Saccharomyces cerevisiae S288C: one gene and its partners. The gene in region 4 interacts genetically with the main gene of each other region. Each region holds a gene or a part of one and is shown on either strand. Other genes may lie near its edges. The genes, in order: PRB1, MPT5, YEF3 and STM1.

Region 1 (5,655 bases), on a different chromosome or scaffold from region 4:
TGTTGTTGATACTGTTGCTTGATGGTATTCGGCAGTGATTTTGTCCTTAACCTTTTTCTTAATAGAGCAGCTTTAGGTGTTAGATCATTTAATGACCTCGGAGAACTGTTCCTAGAATTACTCCTGGAACTACTAGCACTGTTGCTAGTGGTATTATTTGCTGTGCTTGAATCAAAAATCCTCAATTTTTTCATAAATTGGCCGTCAAAGCCAGTATTACTAGAGCCGTTGCTATTGCTGTCCAAGAGGTCCTTCAATTCTTCGTTGTAGAGTTCAATGAACGAACATTTTACTACGTAATCGTTCTGTTGTAGTTCCAATGTGTCAAACAACTTCAAAAGAACCCTCGGTATAATTCCTGCTGCATCGCTCAATTCACCATTATATAACTTTTCGTCGCCCGTCATTGTATATGTTTTACCTGTTGACGTCATACCATATACCAGTACGGTGCAATTGTAACCTTTAATGAAATCCTGGAATAATGGGCCCGCCACTTCATCAAAAATTAGATCCTGGGAAGCGCCGGGACCGAAGACTTTGTCCACTGTGTATCTCTTGGCATTCATTTGAGCAGTTATACCGGTATCTCCCGTCGTGTTAATGGAAATTTCTTTAGAACCTGTAATATCTGGAACATTTACCACAACGGAGCTTTTCATACTAATTTCCCTTTCATTCCTTCCTCTGCATCGCACAGCTACAGTGATGTTCAGTTCCTCATTAGGAACAGTGTGACATCCAACCTGAGAGTTGCCATTTTTACTGATGCTGTTGGAGCTTCTATCTTGACCCGTATTTTGGTTTTCCGCTGGCATCAAACAAATTCTTTCTTGTTGTATTTTTTGCGCTTTTATATACTTTTTATTACTTTTTCCTTTGAATTGCTTGCTTCTGTATCTATACTCAACGTTACTTTCTGGCCATACCATAAGTTCTACACCCGCTGTTGAGAAGCGGGTCACAAAGGAAGTCTTTAGATGATGTTATTGTTGCGGCCTTGTTTGTTTGTTTTGTTTATTTCGCGTACCTAATACATCGTCACCACACACGAAAACGAAAACATTTGATCAGATAAGTGATCTGCAAATAAGATATAATAAAAGTAACAGTTATTTATTTAATTAAAAACGCAAATATGTAGTAATACGTGGGACATATAAATTTCATGAATTAAAAAAAAAAAATGAAATTCAGATTGAAAATAATGGGGATATAAAAAAAGTGGACAAACGATAGTGAAGAGGGACTCCGACTTGTAACCTCGAGACGCCTAAGGAAAGAAAAAGAAAAAAAAAAGCAGCTGAAATTTTTCTAAATGAAGAATTAAATAATATTCAATTTATCAAGAATATCTCTCACTTGATCAAAGATTAAATCGGTCTTTGATCCAATGAATTCATCCATGTTCAATTCTTGCTTGAAACCAGATGAATGGGACTTTTTGGTATCATTCCAGAAAGCGGACAAATCTTGACCACCACCGTTGTAGATTAAAACATTTGGAGTGTCTTCAGGGATATCGAACAAAATGTCCTTTGTACTGTAATGAATTAGCTTCTTTTTCAATTGCTGAGGAGTCAAAGAATCCTGGCCCAATTCGAAAAATTCACTATCAGAACCTGGTTGCAAAGACAAAAAGTAGGTCAACAAACCAGCAACGTGAGGGGAAGCCATTGAGGTACCCGATAAAGTGGCGGTGGCGTCATCACTTCCAATGTAGGTGGACAAAATGTTTAAACCTGGGGCGAAAACGTCGACACACTTACCCCAGTTGGAAAAGTAGGCTCTGTCATCGCTCAACGTGGAAGCTCCGACGGTGATGGCCTTGTCAGCAGAAGCTGGGGAGGTATTACAAGCGTCTTGGTTTTCGTTACCAGCAGCCACGGCAAAGTGAATACCGACTTCAACGGCTGCATTAACAGCCAAGTCCAAAGCTGGGGACTTGCCACCACCAAGCGACATATTGGCTGTGGAACCTTTGAACCCCTTTTTCTTTTCTTGGGCTTCTTTTTGGTGCGCCTTTGCGGCATATTCGACACCTTTGACGACATCAGACATGGTACCAGACCCGTTTGATCTCAAGACTTTCACCGCAACAACGTTGGCATTTTTAGCGACACCGTAGTGTTTGGAAGCGATAGTACCGGCACAGTGGGTACCGTGGCCGTTACCGTCGAGATCTTCGTCGTTAAGTGGGATGGTTTTCCCCCAAATGGCTCTCTTTTCGAAGTCCTTGTGGTTGATGTTGACACCCGTGTCAATAACATAGGACGTGACACCGCGACCGGCATCATCATCGTAGAGATACTTGTTGAAGGACCCCAGGTTGAGGCGCTCTCTGTGGGAAATACGGGCCAACCCCCATGGGGCGCTATTTTGAGTGTCAAATTCTGTAGCCTCGACAATAGAGTCTCTCTCAACAAAGTCTACTAATGGGTTTTGACGTATCAAGTCGACAATCTCTTGGGTGAAGTAACCGATGTAACCGGAGAAAAGATTATCGATGTTGAATGAGTCCTGGATACCGCCAGCCTCAGAGGTGGACAAGGAGGTGTCTTTAGTAGAAATGAAGAAAGCGTCTTCGGCAGATAAGTTCTCTACGGATTGAAGTTGTGCCTGCTGGACGTTTTCCTTGTGGAAATCGATCTCTTCTTGAGGGGCACCTCTCTTGAAGACTATAATGTAGCGGTTGGGGATGATCTTGGAGATCGCGTCTGGGTTGAATTGTGCAGTGGACACGAGAGGAGCCAGCCTGTTGTGGTGCCTCCCTTTCTCCAACGTCTTTTCGTGGTGCTTCTTGCCCTTGACTTTCTTACCTTTCATCTTCTTCTCCTCCACCTTATTTTCGTGGCAGCCACCCTTATGGTGAGGCTTCTTCTTCTTATCATCATTATCATCATCATTGGAACTTTCATGCTTAGGCTTCATGCCCTTTCCTCCCTCGTGGGCGCTCCCATGAGAGCCACTTGCACGTTTACCGTTGAATTCCGGAGACTCCTTGTCTTGGCCCTTGCGGCCCTTCTTATGGAACTTTCCATGTTCTTTATCTTCAGAGTCAGATGGCTCCTCATCATCGTCCTTAGTGAATTCCACTTTTCTGGGTCTCTCGTGGTGATCTTCCTTGTTAATCAGTTCGTGGTGGTCGGCGGCATTTTCAAGATTTGGGATGACCAAAGCAGCAGAGATGCTCCCTAGGGCACCGAGTGTAAATAGAGTATTTTCTAACTTCATCTTTGCTTGTTAGAATTAGGTTTAGTTTGTTTTTTTATTGGCGATGAAGCTAATTGGACTCTTAAGTTTGTATGGGAAGAACTCCAATATAACGGGACGTAACATTGGCCCCCTTTTATATTCATCGCGCTCTTTATCGCGGGTGTGTTTGCCCCCGCCACTCCCGCAGTCCTGGCGTGATAAGCCACTGCAGTGGCATTACTGAGCCCAAATTTTGCTTTTTCAACAAGTCACCTAAATTTCCAAAGCCGAAAGCCCTGCTACTCTGCTAACCCGGAGCGTTTAAAGTCCACGGACATTTCCCAGCCCTCGTTTTTTCTCCTCCCGGGACCCCGGGCATAAGTGCATAGTAGGCACAGACCTGATCTGTCGGGTGCAGTTTAAAAAAGTCTTGGCAAAATTTTTTATTTATCACACTACTGTGCTATATAGAGTATATGTAATTTTTAACTATTGGTATATGTGTCCGTGACCTCGTAGTTAGTGGCTGATTTGTCGGGTGCAATGCAGTGTTCAAAAAGCCTCTTAAAAGGCGAGCAGACGTATTCGGCTCCTTTGAATTGGCACTCCCATTGCACAAGCTCTTTCAGCCGGCAGTTGGTTTGTGAGTCAAGCGTTGCTAACGGTGCGAGCGCTTGGTCCCTAGTGCGGATGGTGGTTGGAGGCGCCATGAGGGTTGATTGTCTTATCTGCGATAGATGAGTCTTTCTTTCCTTCTCTTTTCCCCTTTTCTCCCCCCCTGTTTCTCGTCCATCTCTATCTGTCTATCTGTCTTATCTACTGTTAGTTTTTTTTTCGCTTTCACGATACCGCATTACGTACTGCGCTGCGGAAGTGTGGATGAGTGGCATATACACTCTTCTGCAGAGGATTTTCGTACACAACGGTGTGTGTGTGCTGTGAAGCTGTCTGCTTCCTTACTTGGCTGTTTGCTTGCTTGTGCGTCATGGTCACTTTTGTTAGAAGTGAGCCGCATAAAATGGCATGTCGGCACAGCCTACAGTTAAAAATTAAGCATATCTGACTGTTTATCTGTTTATCTGTTTATACACGGTGAACTGTCACGAGAACCCTTACTTGCACGATTAGCAGATTGTTCAGAGAGCCTCGCTCGTTGAAGTTCTTCTATATGCCAGCGTGTTTCATGTAGCAGGAAACGTTGCTCTATTTATATCTTTTCTGACATTTTGCGTCGTCGGGAAAAAAAAGATTAAGTAAGAACAAAAAACCGTTAATGGTTTCAGCAATCGAGACAAGTACAAGGACCAAGGCAAAGGTCAGCAGTAAGCTTAGAGACGATGAAGGTTGATTACGAGCAATTGTGCAAACTCTACGATGACACGTGCCGCACAAAGAATGTGCAGTTCAGTTACGGTACGGCCGGATTCAGAACGCTGGCCAAGAATTTGGATACGGTGATGTTCAGTACTGGTATACTGGCGGTTCTCAGGTCGCTGAAGCTTCAGGGTCAGTATGTGGGGGTGATGATCACGGCGTCGCACAACCCATACCAGGACAACGGGGTCAAGATCGTGGAACCAGACGGATCGATGCTTTTGGCCACATGGGAGCCATATGCCATGCAGTTGGCCAATGCGGCCTCTTTTGCCACTAATTTTGAAGAATTTCGTGTTGAGTTGGCCAAGCTGATTGAACACGAAAAGATTGATTTGAATACAACCGTCGTGCCTCACATCGTGGTTGGGAGAGACTCTAGGGAAAGTAGTCCATACTTGCTGCGCTGCTTGACTTCCTCCATGGCCAGCGTCTTCCACGCGCAAGTTTTGGACCTAGGCTGTGTCACTACGCCTCAATTGCATTACATTACTGATTTGTCCAACAGGCGGAAACTGGAAGGAGACACAGCGCCAGTTGCCACAGAACAGGACTACTATTCGTTCTTTATAGGAGCCTTCAACGAGCTCTTCGCCACGTATCAGCTGGAGAAGAGGCTGTCTGTCCCAAAATTGTTCATAGACACAGCCAATGGTATCGGTGGTCCACAGTTGAAAAAACTACTGGCCTCCGAAGATTGGGACGTGCCAGCGGAGCAAGTTGAGGTAATCAACGACAGGTCCGATGTTCCAGAACTGTTGAATTTTGAATGCGGTGCGGATTATGTGAAGACTAACCAGAGATTACCCAAGGGTCTTTCTCCATCCTCGTTTGATTCGCTATATTGCTCCTTTGATGGTGACGCAGACAGGGTTGTGTTCTACTATGTCGACTCAGGATCAAAATTTCATTTGTTGGATGGTGACAAAATTTCCACTTTGTTTGCAAAGTTCTTGTCTAAACAACTAGAATTGGCACACCTAGAACATTCTTTGAAGATTGGTGTTGTGCAAACTGCCTATGCAAACGGCAGTTCCACCGCTTACATAAAAAATACGTTGCACTGTCCCGTGTCTTGCACTAAGA
Region 2 (7,065 bases), on a different chromosome or scaffold from region 4:
GAATAATAAAGGCCTAATACTTATATCTGGAATGGCAGACAAAGAGAATGTGCAACAACTGGTTATAGCAGATACGTTCCTGGAGGACATTCTGACCGAAATCCCGGTTGTATCTTTTAAAACTAAGTTCTTAAACGTGACTAAGGATACAGAAATACTCGAGATATCGGATGACGGGCGCTACTTCATTTATGGTTCAACTAGCGCTAGGGACGGAAAGGGTGATTTTGAAGTATTTTGTACCACTTTATCTGGAAATCTTGACTACGAAAAATCCGAAGGTGGAAATATCACCCTCTATCCAATAGGAGGTATGAAGAACTACTGTAGGTTAGAAAACTTCCAGTTTGAATCTATCCACCTACATTCGGCTTTCATACCCCCAAGGTACGTAAATCCGTTTGATGCTGTGGAACCTCTAGGTGAAGAGAGCAGTACTTCACCTTACGATATACCTGAAGAAGCACTTTCTCAAAAAATATGCATCTTAATTCGGAGAGAAGATGATCCCTACAATGGGGCCAATATCTTCATAACATCTGCTTTGACCTAGTTTAGCCCACCGAGATTTTTGCTTTATAAATATTTTAGCATACTTTGCATTCATATACATATTCATATGTATAAATATTCTTTAAATTTTAACGCCGACTTCGAACTAATTAGCAGTCAAAACCCAAATGTAATGACCTTATGGTGTTATAGCATAATTCTTCTTGGTGTACAATTCCATTCTGAATAGTTCAACGATTTTAGATATAGTTAGATATGATATTATAATAAAATATACAAATATGTATCATTGTTAGTACAAGTTAAACCTAAATATAATAAAGCCAACCAAGACAGGAACCAGTAGAAAAATTTATACAAATGACAAAGAAAAACAAACGGTATTTTCCTATTTATTAAAAATGCTTGAGCGAATGGATATTTTAACACATTAGTGTCCTAAAGGACAATTGGATTTGAAAATAAAATGACAGTAATAGACAAAAAGAAAACTGAATGAATGAATGGACGTATGGATTGCTTAATGAATGAATGAATTAAATAATAGTTGGGCGTAAGTTCAGAAGATGAGGAATTTAAAACAAAAATAATCGTTGACAAAAAACGATTCAAAAAAAAATTAGATCATTTTGGTAGGGAGCAATGCTAACCCTGCAAAGGCAGTGGGAGGATTTTGGATACGTGTTCGGAAACAGAATACAAAATATAAAGATGGCAATAGTTTGCTTTACCATTTTTTTCCGGCTCAAATTTTGGGACTTTAGTAGGACGTCATTGCTTAGTTGAATTTTTTATTTTTTATTTTTTATTTTTCTTTTGTCTTTGATTTCTGCGTAAAATATTTGTACAGTAAGAAGGAAAGAAAAAGAAAGAAAAAAAAGTATTATGGCAAAGTGAATTGAAGTTCATCAGATGTTCTAGCGGTATTCATGGCAGGCATATTGGAAATACTAGCGTTGCGGCTCATATTAACTTGATTATATGGGCCTTGACCAATATGCTGCGACTTCATTGACAAACTTGAATCCCAGTTTGCACCTTCCGTTTGATATTGCATACGAGGCACAAAAGATTCATTGAAGTTTTGACTATTTGCATTAGAGTATGGCGAGAAGTGATTAGCATTAATTTTGTCGGTTTCATTCATCATAAATCCAGGCTGCTTAAATCCCCTTGAAACATTAGGATTCACATTGGTAATGTTAGATGATGAGAACGAATGGATTGGTGCAGCAGAATTAGGATGTGCCATTAAATTTGCAAACTGGCGGTTGTCGAAGTTTTGTAACGAGTTATGGCTTACCAATGGTGGGTTAGTTTGAGAATTGAAAGAAGGTGCTCCCATCGAGGGATATGCGTTTTGGTTGAAGTTCATAATTTGTTGCGGAGAGTGAATTTTCTGATCTTGTGCATATTGGTTTGAGAAATTATTGGTTACAGAGCTGTTACTTCTTCTATGGTAAGCATTAGCTGGTAAAGAAAAATGACGGGTATGACTCTTTTGATTATTATTGTTATTATTATTGTGAGCATGGTTATGATTATGATTATGATTATGATTATGACTATTTTTGTTATGGGGGTTCTTATTTTCGTTGTTAATCGTTTGAAGATTGTTATGACTCATTGCAGTGACTTGAGGAGATATGTCAGTGAATGGTATACCTGTGGCTTCTGCATAAGCTTTAACTTTCAACTTAATTTTCTTTGCATAGGATGTAGTTTTAATACTTGGAAGTAATTCTTTTGTAAGGACAATCAAGTTACCAATTTTCAATGAAAAATCGTTACAAAAGTTACCGTAATTCAATGTACTAGAGCTGTTTTGCCCAATTGCGTTACTATTTTTGTTGTAAGCAAGCAGAGGAGAATAATTCTTAACGTCTAATAGCGTTTGTAACGCATAATTACCAAAATTATCCCTGATTAGCACATTTAAATTGACTGTGAATATATCAATGGTAGTCAAAAGAATGTTCATAGAAGCATTAATCACGTCATCAGAAGCAACTGCAGTCCTTTGGGAGGCACCCCCATTGTTATTAACAATAAATCCAGTAATGATTCTAAATAATTTTTTAATGAATTTTTCCACAACATTTGAGGAGAACTTCAAACAAGATAGTTGACATAATTCATTGGATAAACGGTTAAATAACTCAGCCAATAAGTAAAAGTCCAATTCTTTGATATCTAACAGAAATTGGATGATATAATTACCGAACTGATCGTTGATTAATCCAGGAAGGAACTGCACAATTTTCACAGAAATTTTGAAAATTTGTTGTAGAGTACAAACGCTTAGTAATTTTTGTAGTACGCAACAACCATGTTTATGGGTAGAAATGGTAATGATATTATTTTGTTCTACAATAGCATCTATGATGAAACCAAATTTTGATGGCGAGAATTTGAAAATACACTTTTGAATCACATGGTTACCATTAAGATCGTTTATCAAAGTAACCACTTGCTCAATCGAAGTAAATTCTTGGGAAAATCCCTTAATAATGAGATCGATTTGAACTTCGTTATCGACAGTGTCTATAATTTTCTGTAAGGAACGAGTTCCGTACTGATTGATTGATATTTGGAAAACATTTGGATATATTGTTTGTATTAATAATGTCTTTTGCTCGGCAGTTAAATAATCGCATAGTTTTTGAACCAAATAGTTACCGAACGGATCCAAAATAAGGTCCAAGAAAAATGGCTTAATTTGTTCATACATCAAGTCTCTCACCATATTGGATTCACTGGGGGTTTCTAATTTTTTTTGAAGAAAACGGCAGCCAAACTGGTCAGTGGCAAGTTTGATATAATCCAGATCTCTAAGGGGTAGTGCGCTGATTTCGACCATAGATGAAGACGTTGAGCTACTCAAACCAAATGACGAATTATCCACTCCACATTTGGAAGCAGCATTATTACTATTGCTAAAATTTCTGAGAGATGCAGCAGGAGTCACTGAAGAGGATGGTGTTTCCATAATTAAACTGGAGGTATTGACACCAGAGTTCGAAGGAGCAACAACCGTGAAATCGTGGCTTGATTTTCTCCTGGGACCATCCATTTCCAGATCAAACTCATTGATTAATGGTAGAATGGCTGGAGGATTTGCCATTGAGGCTGAAAGCCCAGTGGAGTTGCTAGCAGCATTAGGATTCGGGGAAAAAGAGTTAGCAGAATTCGATGTTGATGTATTATTCATCAAAGCCAAGGGAGATTGTGTCGATGATATGAACTGATTAAAACCAGAGAGATCAAGCGAATGAGCCTTTTGATGGTTTCTTTTGTTATTCATCTGGCCCAAAGGCGGAGGGGTCACGGGCTCCAAGAGTGATTGGACGGAGTTAATAGATAGTTGAGGCTGATGATTGTAAGACATTAAGGAGTTATTTGATGTAGACGTAGTTAAAATCGATGCTGAGTCGGCAGATGGAAATGGTTCGTTATTGATCTGATTGAATAAAAGAATGTTGTGTTAGTAAAGTGAAACCACAAAAATAAGGCGTGTGCAGAGCCGATTTTGGAGTATAAGCCTAGGATCAATTTCGATAACTGAGAAAGAGAACAATCACAACCATGTACAGTGTCCAGGTGGCCTGAGATGCGTGAGAATCAAGAGTAAATCTATCTATAAAGTTCGACTTCAATGGCGACAGAGGATGGCAAAAAAAGAGGACAGGAAAAGAGGAAGACAAAACACAAAATTTATGCTTGATTTTAGAATGAAACCTATAACCATAAAGAGTAAAATCCTTATAACTCTCAACGAATCTGCATAAATTTTTCATAGATCTTCGAATCTTTTCTTTTTTTTTTTTTTTTTGCTCATTTTTGCCTGAGGCGCCTCTTTCCCGAAGCCCTTCTTTCGAGAAAATCCTTATAGGCATATTCGAGAAATAAGGTAGGGTCAAGTATCAGAAATTCCATACGACATAAACGGAGATTGTTAGACCGCTAAAAAAGGCGTGTCGATAGGCTGATCCCACTGAAGCTGGTTTTTGGTTATTATGCTATTTGTTGTTAGAAGATCCCGTTAAAGCTTATGCTCCATTGGCGAAGAAAAATATTGGGAATTAAGAGATAATACATACCATAAGAGAAACTGGAAAAATCGTAATTGATTTATAAATTTGCGTAGAATTCGCTTTACTATGTGTTGGAGAGGAGTTGAGGAGGTTTTTTTTTTTTTTTTTTTGGTTTTTTAGCTTTTATCTTAAGGAATAGTAAAAGTGGCGGTTGTAGTAGCAGGCTTTTGCTGATCCGTAGTCCAAATCTAGTAATTTCAAGGCGCTTGACTTCTTGATGTTATTACCTTTCTTTTATTACTTAACTTGCCAATCAATGATGTGTCAATGATCTTCTCGGGGCTAGCAGATCTGTTCTTTTTTACCTGTTCTCTTTTTGTGTGAAAAGATAAAGTAAATTATGAAATAGGCTGATCTTGATGTTGACTCAACAGTACCCAAGGTTTTGAAATGTGAATTGTGTTCAGTATATTCAATGTTTCAGATATATATTGAAAGGAAACCACCTATTATGCTTTTTAGGCCTCTATGTAAGAAAATCTATACGTTTAACACAGATGCGAACCAGGAAAGAAGAAGAGTTCTTGTAGGCCACGTTTAAGAATGGCAAGAGAGAAAAAAAGAATGATCACAAGAAAACTGATTTCAGAATTGTAATATCGGACGGCAATACTAGTGTAATCTGAACCACAAGGTTAGTCTTAGCTGGGTAAAACACCTGGCGAAAGAAGAAAAAAAATAAGGAATCTGGATGATTATAAACTTTTTTAAATTACCCTTCTTTTATACATGAAAAGGGCATACAGCATACATAAACGGTAAAGAAAAAGAGGCAATCGTCAGTATTAATTGGCTCTAAGCTAGTCCAGGAAATAACCGCGTATAAATCCAAACCGTACTTCAGAACATTCAGATCTTTCTAGCTACTTGAAAGCGCGTACCATTTCCCCAACCTTAATATGTATATTTTATCACTCACTATGCAGTACTAGGCCGCTTCTTTCTATTGCTTTTCAGATTGCCAGATGCAATATATCCCGCTTCGGAATTATTAAAAATTTAGGGGTTGGCCAGATGTTTAGAACCTCGCTTTCCAGTTAATTGCTTTAGGAAAAGAAAGGCCAATATTGTTGTCATTTTTGTATTTTTTGCGCGGTACTGACCTTTTACTGCGGCGTTTCGCGTTTTTTTGGCATTTCGCGTTTCAGTGCGGCCCCCCCTCCCCAAAAAAATGGCGTATATTTTTAGTTAGTTTCTTCATCGTTCGATGCCTAAGCCGAGAATTTCAGAAGGCTTCTAAGGGCCAGAGTAAAGAGATCCATTGAGCCCCCACCCAGTTGGCAGCGGATGCCGAAGGGCGGAAGGAAGGGGCGTGTATAGGCTTCTTTACGAGAGCAAAAGACATTACAACGTACAAGGGACATTCCGTTCCCTTGTACGTCATGTTAATGAGCAAGAAACCGCTCACCGGCAATGGTTGGTGGTAGTGGTAGTATGGACTCTTTGGGTGATGAAAAGTAATCAGAACATTCTGCAATTTCTTTACATTTCCAATACTTGCTCCATTTAATCCTTTCCTTAGGTGGCGATAGCCCACGCGAAAGACGACCTAGGGTCAGGAGATTATCAATGCACTTGAGGCTTTAACTACTATGGCTTAAGAAGGGTAGCTACTTTATTTTTGTGCTTTTAAGAAATGTAATCATTAATTAAGTAATTAGGAGGTCAAGACGAAAACCATAAATAGATTGTGTAGAAGGGGCCGTACATTTTGTTTCTTATGCAATGTGGTAGTTTCGTTTACCGCCCTCGCCGGTCCATCACAGCATTTTGGAGTTCCTTTCTAAGGTCCATCGGAGCACCTTTATTTTTTTTGCGCTTCGGATAAATTGCATTTGGTTGATAACTTCCATCTCCACCCGTCCCCTCGCACCGGACCTTTTAAAGATCCCTTTGTATATAATAAACCAACGGGTCCTATAAAGACTACCGCTGATATCTTCGGTTTGCACAACGTCCTTCAGCAAGCAAAATATGGCTGTTTTTATTCTCTGTATGTCCTCATTGATGAGGACTCGCAACAATCTTGGCTATTTTTTTCGTTGAGCATACCCGGTCCCTGAATCTTTTGTGCGGGTATTATACGAAGAGCGGGTGTGCCTTACTTATCCGCGCGGTATATAAAGCCATACATTGTTAGGACAGGTGTCCCCAATAAGAAACACTACTTGTAAGTGGTATATAATGCTCGAGCCTCTAGTGACTCGTACTCTACGCCTTGAAATTGCTGCGCACATATTCTGCATATAAAAAGGAAGCTTTGAAGAATATGGTACTACTTAAAGAACCTGTTCAGCCGCTGCCTCGATCATCTCTGTTATATAATAATGCGAGCAATAGTAGTAGTCGTATAAAAGAGACAAGAAAAGTCAAACTATTATATAATCCCTTAACTAAGAGACAAATCCTTAACAACTTTGAAATTTTAGCCACTTTGGGTAATGGACAGTACGGCAAA
Region 3 (7,152 bases), 200 kb from region 4:
CCATTTCCTTTATTCTTGAAAGTACGAAGGCTGAAAAAGAGCCACTACGATCCAAAAAATCACCGTTAGTTTTAGTCGTCCACGAGTACGTTGGCATAAAGTCTAGTAATCTTTTTACTTTATAGCAATCAAGAGAAAAAAGGAGGATAAAGGGACATTTATTTGTTATTGTTTTTTGTTCTTTTTAAACTTTTTTACTGGCTAGGTTTAAGGTTATAATTATAAATCCAGTGATTAAGAGGAAACCTCGTCAAGAATCCTAGATAATAGTAATCAGCGACAGTTATTTCAACGAAGTCAAACTCTATCTCTGGGGCTTTATCTCTCCTATTGACATCTAACTTTTTACAAACGCTTACTAGAAAAGACGGATCGGCCAAAGAAAAAAAAAGAGTGACATCGAAAAAATTAAAGAAAATAAAATCCCAGATAGTTCATACGTTATTTGAAGTACAAACATTTAACGATTGGAAAAGACGAAAGTATTGTTAAGAGTACTGCTTATTTAGAGAGGATCAAACAAAATCTCTTCGATGCTTAAAATAAAGGCCCTTTTCTCGAAAAAGAAACCGGATCAGGCAGATTTGTCTCAGGAATCTAAAAAACCATTCAAGGGTAAGACCAGGTCAAGCGGTACAAATAACAAAGATGTTTCCCAGATTACTTCTTCCCCTAAGAAAAGCTTTCAGGACAAAAATATAGTTCAGTACCCGAGTGTTGTCGCAGATGACCATCATATGAAGTCTTTAACCGATGAATTAGTAACCACGATAGACTCGGACTCTTCACCGAGTGATAATATTACCACGGAAAATGTGGAAACAGTTACTTCCGTGCCAGCTATCGATGTCCATGAAAGTAGTGAAGGTCAATTAAGTTCCGACCCCTTAATATCTGACGAATCTCTTTCGGAACAAAGCGAGATTATCAGTGATATCCAGGATGACAGTACTGATGATGACAATATGGAAGATGAAATTCCGGAAAAATCCTTCCTCGAACAAAAGGAATTGATAGGTTACAAGCTGATCAATAAAATCGGTGAAGGTGCTTTTTCAAAAGTCTTTAGAGCCATACCTGCTAAAAATAGTTCTAATGAATTTTTAACTAAAAACTATAAAGCTGTTGCCATTAAAGTTATCAAAAAGGCAGATTTATCCTCGATTAATGGTGATCATCGTAAGAAGGACAAAGGGAAGGACAGCACTAAAACTTCTTCCAGAGATCAAGTCTTGAAGGAAGTTGCACTACATAAGACGGTTTCCGCTGGTTGTTCACAAATTGTCGCGTTCATAGACTTCCAAGAAACAGATAGCTATTATTATATTATTCAAGAGTTACTAACCGGTGGGGAAATCTTCGGCGAAATTGTTAGGTTGACCTATTTCAGTGAAGATTTATCAAGGCATGTAATCAAACAATTAGCACTGGCTGTTAAACATATGCATTCACTAGGTGTAGTGCATCGTGATATAAAACCTGAGAATCTTCTTTTTGAACCGATTGAATTCACACGCTCTATAAAACCAAAATTGAGGAAATCGGATGATCCGCAAACAAAGGCAGACGAGGGAATTTTCACACCAGGAGTTGGTGGTGGTGGAATTGGTATAGTAAAACTAGCTGATTTTGGTTTGTCTAAACAAATATTTTCCAAGAACACCAAGACTCCTTGTGGTACAGTCGGTTACACTGCCCCTGAAGTTGTCAAAGATGAGCATTATTCTATGAAAGTGGATATGTGGGGGATTGGTTGCGTTTTGTACACAATGTTATGTGGGTTCCCGCCATTCTATGATGAGAAAATTGACACTTTAACTGAAAAAATATCAAGGGGTGAGTATACCTTTCTGAAACCTTGGTGGGATGAAATCAGCGCCGGTGCCAAGAATGCCGTGGCTAAGCTATTAGAACTAGAGCCGTCTAAAAGATACGACATTGACCAGTTTTTGGACGACCCATGGTTAAATACATTCGATTGTTTACCAAAGGAGGGCGAATCTTCACAAAAGAAAGCAGGTACTTCCGAAAGACGCCATCCGCATAAGAAACAATTCCAACTATTTCAAAGAGACTCCTCGCTACTGTTTTCACCAGCTGCTGTTGCTATGCGTGACGCCTTTGATATTGGTAATGCTGTGAAACGTACCGAAGAAGACCGTATGGGAACACGTGGAGGATTAGGCTCGCTTGCTGAGGACGAAGAATTGGAAGATAGTTACAGTGGCGCCCAAGGCGATGAACAGCTGGAACAAAATATGTTCCAATTAACGCTGGATACGTCCACGATTCTGCAAAGAAGAAAAAAAGTTCAAGAAAATGACGTAGGGCCTACAATTCCAATAAGCGCCACTATCAGGGAATAGCAACTTTCCCTTCTGTTTCAATCTTTTTACCTATTCCTTTTTAAAAGATATATATACATTAAACTCCTTCTACAAGTATATATTTTATACATATCTACAGGGCGTATATATACATAACATTTTAAGATAAGCAAGTGAATGTTGATTCCCGTTTCTTAGTCAACACTTCTTTCTATTTTACCCGGTCGTTACCCTATTAAAAAAACAACTTACAATCATTGTTCGCCCCTTCCATACTTACTGCCACTCGCAAAAGGGCCCAACCAGGGCAATTACGTATCAAAAAATCATGACAGGCTGGGTAATAAATATTCGTGAAGAAAGAAGAAATTAAAAAAAGAAACGAAGAAGCAAAAAAAAGAAAAGACTCCGTTTAATCACTTTCAACCGCGGTTTATCCGGCCCCACCCATGCATAACCCTAAATTATTAGATCACTTAGCACGTGAAAAAGAAACGTTTTTAATGTTTTTTTTTTTTTTTTCTTTTTCTTTTTTTGCGTTGGTGAAAATTTTTTCGCTTCCTCGAGTATAATTATCTCATCTCATCTTTCATATAAGATAAGAAGTTTTATAAAAACCTTTTGCATCAAAATTTTGTAGAATATCTCTTTTTCTTACGCTCTCTTTCTTTCCTTAATTGTTTTCTAAAGAACCGTGTATTTTTCTAGTTCGAATCCATCGATAACATTAAAAGATGTCTGATTCCCAGCAATCCATTAAGGTTCTAGAAGAACTATTCCAGAAGTTATCTGTTGCCACTGCTGACAACAGACACGAAATCGCTTCTGAAGTCGCTTCTTTCTTGAATGGTAACATCATTGAACATGATGTTCCAGAACACTTCTTCGGTGAATTGGCCAAGGGTATCAAGGACAAGAAGACCGCTGCTAACGCCATGCAAGCTGTTGCTCACATTGCTAACCAATCTAACTTGTCTCCATCTGTTGAACCATACATCGTCCAATTGGTTCCAGCTATCTGTACCAACGCAGGTAACAAGGACAAAGAAATTCAATCTGTTGCTTCCGAAACTTTGATTTCCATCGTTAACGCTGTTAACCCAGTTGCCATCAAAGCTTTGTTGCCACATTTGACTAACGCTATTGTCGAAACTAACAAATGGCAAGAAAAGATTGCTATTTTGGCAGCTATCTCTGCTATGGTCGATGCTGCTAAGGATCAAGTTGCCCTAAGAATGCCAGAATTGATTCCAGTCTTGTCTGAAACCATGTGGGACACCAAGAAGGAAGTCAAGGCTGCTGCTACTGCCGCCATGACCAAGGCTACCGAAACTGTTGACAACAAGGATATTGAACGTTTCATTCCAAGTTTGATTCAATGTATTGCTGACCCAACTGAAGTTCCAGAAACCGTTCATTTGTTAGGTGCTACTACTTTCGTTGCTGAAGTTACTCCAGCTACTTTGTCCATCATGGTCCCATTGTTGTCCAGAGGTTTGAACGAAAGAGAAACCGGTATCAAGCGTAAGTCTGCTGTTATTATTGACAACATGTGTAAGTTGGTCGAAGACCCACAAGTTATTGCTCCTTTCTTGGGTAAATTGTTGCCAGGTTTGAAGAGTAACTTTGCTACCATTGCTGACCCAGAAGCCAGAGAAGTTACTTTGAGAGCTTTGAAGACTTTGAGAAGAGTTGGTAACGTTGGTGAAGACGATGCTATTCCAGAAGTTTCTCACGCTGGTGACGTTTCTACTACTTTGCAAGTCGTTAACGAATTGTTGAAGGACGAAACCGTTGCTCCAAGATTTAAGATTGTCGTCGAGTACATTGCCGCCATTGGTGCTGATTTGATCGATGAAAGAATCATTGACCAACAAGCTTGGTTCACCCACATCACCCCATACATGACTATCTTCTTGCACGAAAAGAAGGCCAAGGACATCTTGGACGAATTCAGAAAGAGAGCTGTCGACAACATTCCAGTTGGTCCAAACTTCGACGACGAAGAAGACGAAGGTGAAGACTTATGTAACTGTGAATTCTCTTTGGCTTATGGTGCTAAAATCTTGTTGAACAAGACCCAATTAAGATTGAAGAGAGCCAGAAGATATGGTATCTGTGGTCCAAACGGTTGTGGTAAGTCCACTTTAATGAGAGCTATTGCCAACGGTCAAGTTGATGGTTTCCCAACCCAAGAAGAATGTAGAACCGTCTACGTCGAACACGACATTGATGGTACTCACTCTGACACTTCCGTCTTGGATTTCGTTTTCGAATCTGGTGTTGGTACTAAAGAAGCTATCAAGGACAAATTGATTGAATTCGGTTTCACCGATGAAATGATTGCTATGCCAATCTCTGCTTTGTCTGGTGGTTGGAAGATGAAGTTGGCTCTAGCTAGAGCTGTGTTGAGAAATGCTGATATCTTGTTGTTAGATGAACCAACTAACCATTTGGATACCGTCAACGTTGCTTGGTTAGTTAACTACTTGAACACCTGTGGTATCACTTCTATCACTATTTCTCACGACTCCGTTTTCTTAGATAACGTCTGTGAATATATTATTAACTACGAAGGTTTGAAGTTGAGAAAGTACAAGGGTAACTTTACCGAATTCGTTAAGAAGTGTCCAGCTGCTAAGGCTTACGAAGAATTATCCAACACTGATTTGGAATTCAAGTTCCCAGAACCAGGTTACTTGGAAGGTGTTAAGACTAAGCAAAAGGCTATTGTCAAGGTTACCAACATGGAATTCCAATATCCAGGTACCTCTAAGCCACAAATCACTGACATTAACTTCCAATGTTCTTTGTCTTCCAGAATTGCTGTCATTGGTCCAAATGGTGCTGGTAAGTCTACTTTGATTAACGTCTTGACTGGTGAACTATTACCAACCTCTGGTGAAGTCTACACCCACGAAAATTGTCGTATCGCTTACATTAAGCAACACGCTTTTGCTCATATCGAATCTCATTTGGACAAGACTCCATCTGAATATATCCAATGGAGATTCCAAACCGGTGAAGATAGAGAAACCATGGACAGAGCTAACAGACAAATCAACGAAAACGATGCTGAAGCTATGAACAAGATCTTCAAGATTGAAGGTACCCCTAGAAGAATTGCCGGTATCCACTCCAGAAGAAAGTTCAAGAACACTTACGAATATGAATGTTCTTTCTTATTGGGTGAAAACATTGGTATGAAATCTGAAAGATGGGTTCCAATGATGTCCGTCGACAACGCTTGGATTCCAAGAGGTGAATTGGTTGAATCTCACTCTAAGATGGTTGCTGAAGTTGATATGAAGGAAGCTTTGGCTTCTGGTCAATTCCGTCCATTAACCAGAAAAGAAATTGAAGAACATTGTTCCATGTTGGGTTTGGACCCAGAAATTGTTTCTCACTCCAGAATTAGAGGTTTGTCTGGTGGTCAAAAGGTTAAGTTGGTCTTAGCTGCCGGTACATGGCAAAGACCTCACTTGATTGTCTTAGATGAACCTACCAACTATCTGGACAGAGATTCTTTGGGTGCTTTGTCTAAGGCTTTGAAGGAATTTGAAGGTGGTGTTATTATCATTACTCACTCTGCTGAATTCACAAAGAACTTGACTGAAGAAGTCTGGGCCGTCAAGGACGGTAGAATGACTCCATCTGGTCACAACTGGGTTAGTGGTCAAGGTGCTGGTCCAAGAATCGAAAAGAAGGAAGACGAAGAAGATAAATTCGATGCTATGGGTAACAAGATTGCCGGTGGTAAGAAGAAGAAGAAGTTGTCTTCTGCGGAATTGAGAAAGAAGAAGAAGGAAAGAATGAAGAAGAAGAAGGAATTGGGTGATGCTTACGTTTCTTCTGACGAAGAATTCTAATCTTTTTGATCACTGCTTTCACAGTTTTCTTTAAGATTTTTATTGATCAATAATTTATGTATATTTTAATTTCTATGTTTTTGTAATATTGTTTATTTTGGTAAAATATAGACGCAACTTCCTTATTATAAAGAAAGGCATTATTTAAAAGAAAAAGCGTTCCATTAGTCAGACATCTTTTTTTTTCATACATTCTTAAGCTCAGGCAAATTGAGCATTGCCTCATACCCTTTTCGGTAAGAGGGTAACGAAAATATTTTTTTGGAAGAATAAAAATAGGTGACGGATCATAGACTAGGAAGCTTTAAAACATGATTGAGCGTAATATTATATTCCTTCTAGAAAAGATAAAAGAGCCAAGACCTAAAATTTTTTCATCCCTGTTCTATTAAAATTGTGGAAATGAGGTTTTTGAGGGGATTTGTATTTTCTTTGGCTTTCACTCTATATAAAGTAACTGCCACGGCAGAAATAGGATCTGAAATTAATGTGGAAAATGAGGCACCACCTGATGGTTTATCCTGGGAGGAGTGGCATATGGACCATGAGCATCAGCTAAAAGATTACACTCCAGAGACTTTCTTCGCGTTACATGATATCAAGAAGAAAGGATTTTTAGATGAAAACGATATTCTATCTCTCTACGGGTTGAACCGTGAAGAAATTGTGGGGGCTGGTGATGGTATGGGACAACACGATGAATCTGAGAAAATTGACAATGAAATGGCTAAGCGTGTTGTTAGCCTTATTATGAGGTTATTGGATGTTGATGATAATACCAAAATCACCAAGGAGGAATATCTACAATTTGCTAAGAGAGGAAACAAGTTCCCTGACCTTGGCGTTGGTGTAGGTCACCACTCCGATTTTGAGCTAGAATATGAAATTCATCACTGGAATAAGTTTCATAAGGACAAAGATCCAGACGTTAAAGTCGTTCACAAAGAAGACATAGA
Region 4 (4,844 bases):
TTGAGAAGCTTCTCAGGTGATGTTTCATTTCCTGGAGGTAAAGCTGATTATTTTCAAGAAACCTTTGAAAGCGTAGCCAGAAGAGAAGCTGAAGAGGAGATTGGGTTACCGCATGATCCTGAGGTCTTGCATAAGGAGTTCGGAATGAAATTAGACAATTTGGTCATGGATATGCCATGCTATTTATCAAGAACATTTTTAAGTGTTAAGCCAATGGTCTGTTTTCTTTACAAAGATAAATTAGAAAAACATGAGGATAAATACAAAGTTCCCTTAGATATCCGTAAGTTTTTTGGTAAGCTGAACCCTGGAGAAACATCTTCTTTGTTTTCTGTACCACTCAATGACTTAGTTATACATCTTCTTCCTGAAGCCGATGAGGATGTTAAGAGTTATCAAGCAGAATATTTTGAGCGGAAGGAGTATAAGCTTAATTGGGGTGGAATAAAATGGTTGATTATGCATTATCATTTTCACGTAGCAAATAATAACGAAATGCCATGGTTGCAAACCATAGAGGATTTATCAAGTTCAGACGAAGACGGTGTTGATGGAGGTATTTTCAGATTCAGGGATTTGTGGGGACTCACATGTAAAATATTATTCGACGTTTCATGTATAGCTAATGGACTAATGGACGAAAAGTTAAAAGGAGAACTAGGGCACGAAGATTTGATAGTTGGACTACATGACTATGGTAATCAGATGCAACCGAACGGAAGAAGTGAATGGGAGATAGGAATGATCAACGGCGACAGAAACTTAAAATATAGCGATGTGATACCTGAATACTACATGAAGCACCTGCTGGAGTGCCGCTCGCTTTGGTAAAAAAAACTGTGGTATAATGCGTTGCCTAACAATACTCTCAAGAGATAATCAAGATGAGAGAAAAAGAATCATACTGGATGTCCTTAATCGATAACAAAAAGTTTTTAATGAAGAATGACTAATGATGAAATTGTTATACAAATACAAACAAACTACACGCTTGCACATCTCAGAAGTGAAAAAAAAAAAAAGAAAATTGAAAAGTAAATTAAAAGTCATTTATTTTTTATTGCTTAAATAAAACAAAATGATATGTCATATTCTCGATTGGATGTCAACCCAATTTTATTCTTTGGTTTGCCAGCATGATCATCTTCACTTGCAAATTATATAGTAAATAACCAATTAAAATAATAATAGTAATAGAAACAGAAAGTAGAACACTGTTATTGGATTCTTTCAGTTGGAATTATTCATATATAAGGCTTAAGCCAAAGATGGCAAGTTAGAAACGTCAATGTTACGGTTCTTTTGAACGGTGTTAGCAGAGTTAGTAGCGTTAGCAGTGTTGTTACCCTTTCTAGCGCCTCTACCACCACGACGGTTGTTGAAGTTGTTTCTGCTGTTGTTGTTTCTGTCACCGAAGTTCTTTCTAGTGTTAGATTCAACAAAAGTGGCATCAAATTCCAAGTACTCCTTGGTCTTCAATTGCTTAGATTTGACGTTCTTGACCTTGGTTGCTGGAACGTAAGCTTCCTTTTCAGCAGTTTCAATTCTTTCAGCGTCTAATTCAACCTTCTTAGCTTCTGGGACCTTGTTGAACTGGTTGTTAGCTTGTTGGTTCAAGTAGTCTTGCAAAGACAATTGAGCGGTCTTTGGCTTACCAGCGTCTTCAGCTTCTGCAGCGTCTTCAGCAATTTCAGCAGCAGCATCGGCTTGAGCTTCCTTTTCAGCACTCAATTCCTTCTTGTCATCACCCCAACCTTGGTTAACCTTCTTCTTGGTGTCAGTCTTACCAGTTCTAGAGTGGCGGTCAGTGGCCCTTCTGGTGTTGGACTTCTTGGTGGTGGCAGAGTCAGTGACATCCTTTGATCTGTTGTTTCTTCTACCAGCGGTCTTGTCTCTGATAGCACCCTCGTTACCAGAAGGTCTTGGTCTGTTCTTTCTAGCCTTGGATGGGTCAGCGGATGGAGGTGGGACGTCAGCCTTCTTGGAGGAAGTGTTGCTCTTGACGATTTCCTTTGGTGGCAAAACGACAACGTCAGCGTCTTCGACGTCGTTACCTAACAAATCAAATGGGTTGGACATTGAGAATAAAATGTGTATGCTTTCTTGGTTTATTTCTACTTCACCTCTAAAAGAATACTGTGGGGGGAAGAGAAATTTGCAAAGAAATAACTTCTAATTTAAAACTACGAAGCAGAAAAAAAAATCTTCCACAATAAACCAAGTATACAACTAAAACAAGCGAAGGAAGGAAGAAGAACAAAGGGGATATCGACTCAAAATCAAATATTACAAGGAAAATACCATATAATTTCTCTACTCAGTTAGGGCTTCCTCTACGCAACGATGATATCAAAATTGAAAAAAAAATTTCTTTTTGCGTTGGTGCGAACTTTTGGGAACACTTTCCATTCCAATAATTTCACTTTCCTTTATCTTTCTAAACGGTGATGTTACCCGTCTAAATAACAACATGGTAGCGCCATATGTTATACGGCTACAACTTTGTGTCACGTGACATTGAACGGCTTTAAAGCGGAGTATGATCTCTTTTCTGAGGCAATAAGGGGTGATGATCAGAAAGTGAGGAGGAGGAGACTCTGGATTAAAAGCCTATTACAACTTTATTCTAGTACAAAACTTTTGCTGATTAAGCAACGACAAGTAAGATCGAATAAAGTGGTAGAAAAACAGCAATAAGTTACAAAAGTATACGTGTTAAAGAATGACCATTGATGGCACGGGGCAATCTAAGGAGGCGCTGCAAGATGAACGGTTAAATACTGGCTCTGATAAGGTTTACCAAAACTATATGATGCCTGCTTTAGAACTCTACGATGCCAAGGTCTCCATAAACCATTGGCAGTTGCGGGATTGTATCAAACCAGGCTCCATGAACCAGAGTAAACTGTATTATATTTACGATCATTCGATAAGAGTACTAGATACGGATTCTTCCGTATTGAGGTCTCCAGTAAGGCGACATAATTCTATTCAACCGAGTAACAGTGGTAAAAACTCTACTGAAAAAACGTCTACAAAAGGTTCTAGGACAACGGGCTCGTATATCTCCAAAAATTTACATGTTCCTTCCGAGAAACTGGTAGAGTTCAACTTTAAGCCGAGATGTTTCACGGAATTAAATGGGTTGACTGTTTGTGGTGGTCTAATCGGTTCTGATGATAAGGGATTCCCTTCTAATTGGAACCGTTTAGCTCAAGATGCAAATATTTCGTTGCCGCCACCTTCCCAACCGATTAATATTTCCAAAAATATTAGTTTCCCTATAAATTCACATTATTCAAATCCTAATATCTGGAAGGGCATCGTGGAGTTTTATAATCAAGAAACGGACACAATGATGACTTTTACGTTGGGCCAGTTCATCAATAATTGTGTCACACTTTATGACAGGGCCAGTATGCAGTTTGATCTTTTTGCATGCAACAATGATGGTCATCTTTACCAATGCGATGTAAGTAATAGAGATGTAACACTAGTGAAGCGTTATGCGGATTTAAAATTTCCTTTGAATAACGCTTCTTTGTCACATGATGGTCAAACGATGGTAGTGTCTGGCGATTCTAATAAATTTGCTGTTTACAATCAAAATGAATTAACCAACCAATTCTCCTTACATTACGATAATCATCCTTCCTGGGGTAGTTCTGTCAATCGTGTTAGACGGATACCACGGTTTGCGTTACCTGATGAATCAGAATATATCGAAAACATATATGAAGCTCCAAATTCAGACCATGGGTTTTATAACTCTTTTTCCGAAAACGACTTGCAATTTGCGACGGTATTTCAAAATGGTACTTGCGCAATTTATGATATCAGAAACATGGCTACTCCCATGGCAGAAATTAGTTCGACTAGACCACATTCCCACAACGGTGCATTTAGAGTCTGTAGGTTCAGTTATGGCCTAGATGATTTATTATTCATTTCTGAACATCAGGGCAGAGTACACGTTGTAGATACAAGAAACTACGTTAACCACCAAGTTATTGTTATTCCTGATAAAGTTAATATGGAATATATAAACGAACGGAAGCATAATACAAATCATAATTTCACCACAAATAATAACAACGAAAACGAAAGTAATGATAGCAAAAATGAATTACAAGGGGCGGATTATCGGTCTTTATCAAGAAGAAGATTTTCGCTGCCCTCTATGCCAAATGTAACCACAGAACCATGGATAACTATGGCTCAAAGAATCCCAAAAAAGTATTTGGAGCCGCAAATTCTACCTTTTCCGAAAGTTATGGATAAAATTAGTAACGAATCGGTTCTGTTTTCTACGAAAGGTAGTTCATCAAGTGACGTAGCTCATCCATACAAGAGACGATGTTCATTCAGGGTAAGGAGAGTATCGACTTCGGCACCAACCGCCGATTATTCTAATAACAATGTTAACGCAAGTCTTGGCACACCTGCTGCTGATTCTATCGCAACTTCGTCGTCAAATTCCGCACCTCAAAATTTAATTGACCCCTTAATACTTTCTCACCAGCAAGCTAGTAATGATGTTTTTGAAGATGATGAATATTATGAAGCTTACAATGATGTTCACTCAACGTATCGTGTTTCTTCAGACTATCATGGTGTTTCCGCAAGAGCTTTTGAAAGTTTTCTCAGACCACCTTCAACGCCAGACTTACCGTCAGATGATGACAATTTTGCTGCAAATAGTAGGAATAATAGAGGCACATCCAATTTTTTGAGAAGACCAGTGATTACAACTCAGGAAAGTAACGAATTCTCAGAAGAAAACAATATATCAGGTATCGATTGGGTTGAAGATAGGAATGGGAGCTCCTTGATTATTGGTACAG

What was found.
Region 1: mutations in STM1 (region 4) and PRB1 together harm fitness more than expected from each alone (negative genetic interaction), as found in Saccharomyces cerevisiae (2 studies listed by BioGRID).
Region 2: of STM1 (region 4) and MPT5, extra expression of one rescues a mutant of the other (dosage rescue), as found in Saccharomyces cerevisiae (2 studies listed by BioGRID).
Region 3: of STM1 (region 4) and YEF3, extra expression of one impairs growth in a mutant of the other (dosage growth defect), as found in Saccharomyces cerevisiae (one study listed by BioGRID).

The regions. Positions count from the first base shown.
Region 1 is NC_001137.3:38,720-44,374, forward strand, and holds PRB1 (proteinase B), read right to left. Parts: upstream 3,235-5,655; coding exon 1,327-3,234; downstream 1-1,326. Other genes in the region: kinesin motor protein CIN8, read right to left, coding at 1-818; SOM1 (Som1p), read right to left, coding at 3,681-3,905; HHY1 (Hhy1p), read left to right, coding at 3,933-4,241; phosphoacetylglucosamine mutase PCM1, read left to right, coding at 4,533-5,655. UniProt on the Saccharomyces cerevisiae protein: Vacuolar proteinase B involved in protein degradation in the vacuole. Among other substrates, acts on carboxypeptidase Y (cpY/PRC1) to activate it by processing its Pro-peptide.
Region 2 is NC_001139.9:164,903-171,967, reverse strand, and holds MPT5 (Mpt5p), read right to left. Parts: upstream 4,617-7,065; coding exon 4,614-4,616; intron 3,974-4,613; coding exon 1,397-3,973; downstream 1-1,396. Other genes in the region: YGL176C (uncharacterized protein), read left to right, coding at 1-553; serine/threonine protein kinase TOS3, read left to right, coding at 6,877-7,065. UniProt on the Saccharomyces cerevisiae protein: RNA-binding protein involved in post-transcriptional regulation. Negatively regulates expression of HO by binding to the 3'-UTR of HO mRNA. Predominantly binds to mRNAs encoding chromatin modifiers and spindle pole body components.
Region 3 is NC_001144.5:633,719-640,870, forward strand, and holds YEF3 (translation elongation factor EF-3), read left to right. Parts: upstream 1-3,061; coding exon 3,062-6,196; downstream 6,197-7,152. Other genes in the region: serine/threonine protein kinase RCK2, read left to right, coding at 534-2,366; nucleobindin SSP120, read left to right, coding at 6,599-7,152. UniProt on the Saccharomyces cerevisiae protein: Ribosome-dependent ATPase that functions in cytoplasmic translation elongation. Required for the ATP-dependent release of deacylated tRNA from the ribosomal E-site during protein biosynthesis.
Region 4 is NC_001144.5:437,702-442,545, reverse strand, and holds STM1 (Stm1p), read right to left. Parts: upstream 2,080-4,844; coding exon 1,258-2,079; downstream 1-1,257. Other genes in the region: PCD1 (8-oxo-dGTP diphosphatase), read left to right, coding at 1-831; GID11 (Gid11p), read left to right, coding at 2,723-4,844. UniProt on the Saccharomyces cerevisiae protein: Ribosome preservation factor that protect a small pool of nontranslating, vacant ribosomes in cells under nutrient starvation conditions.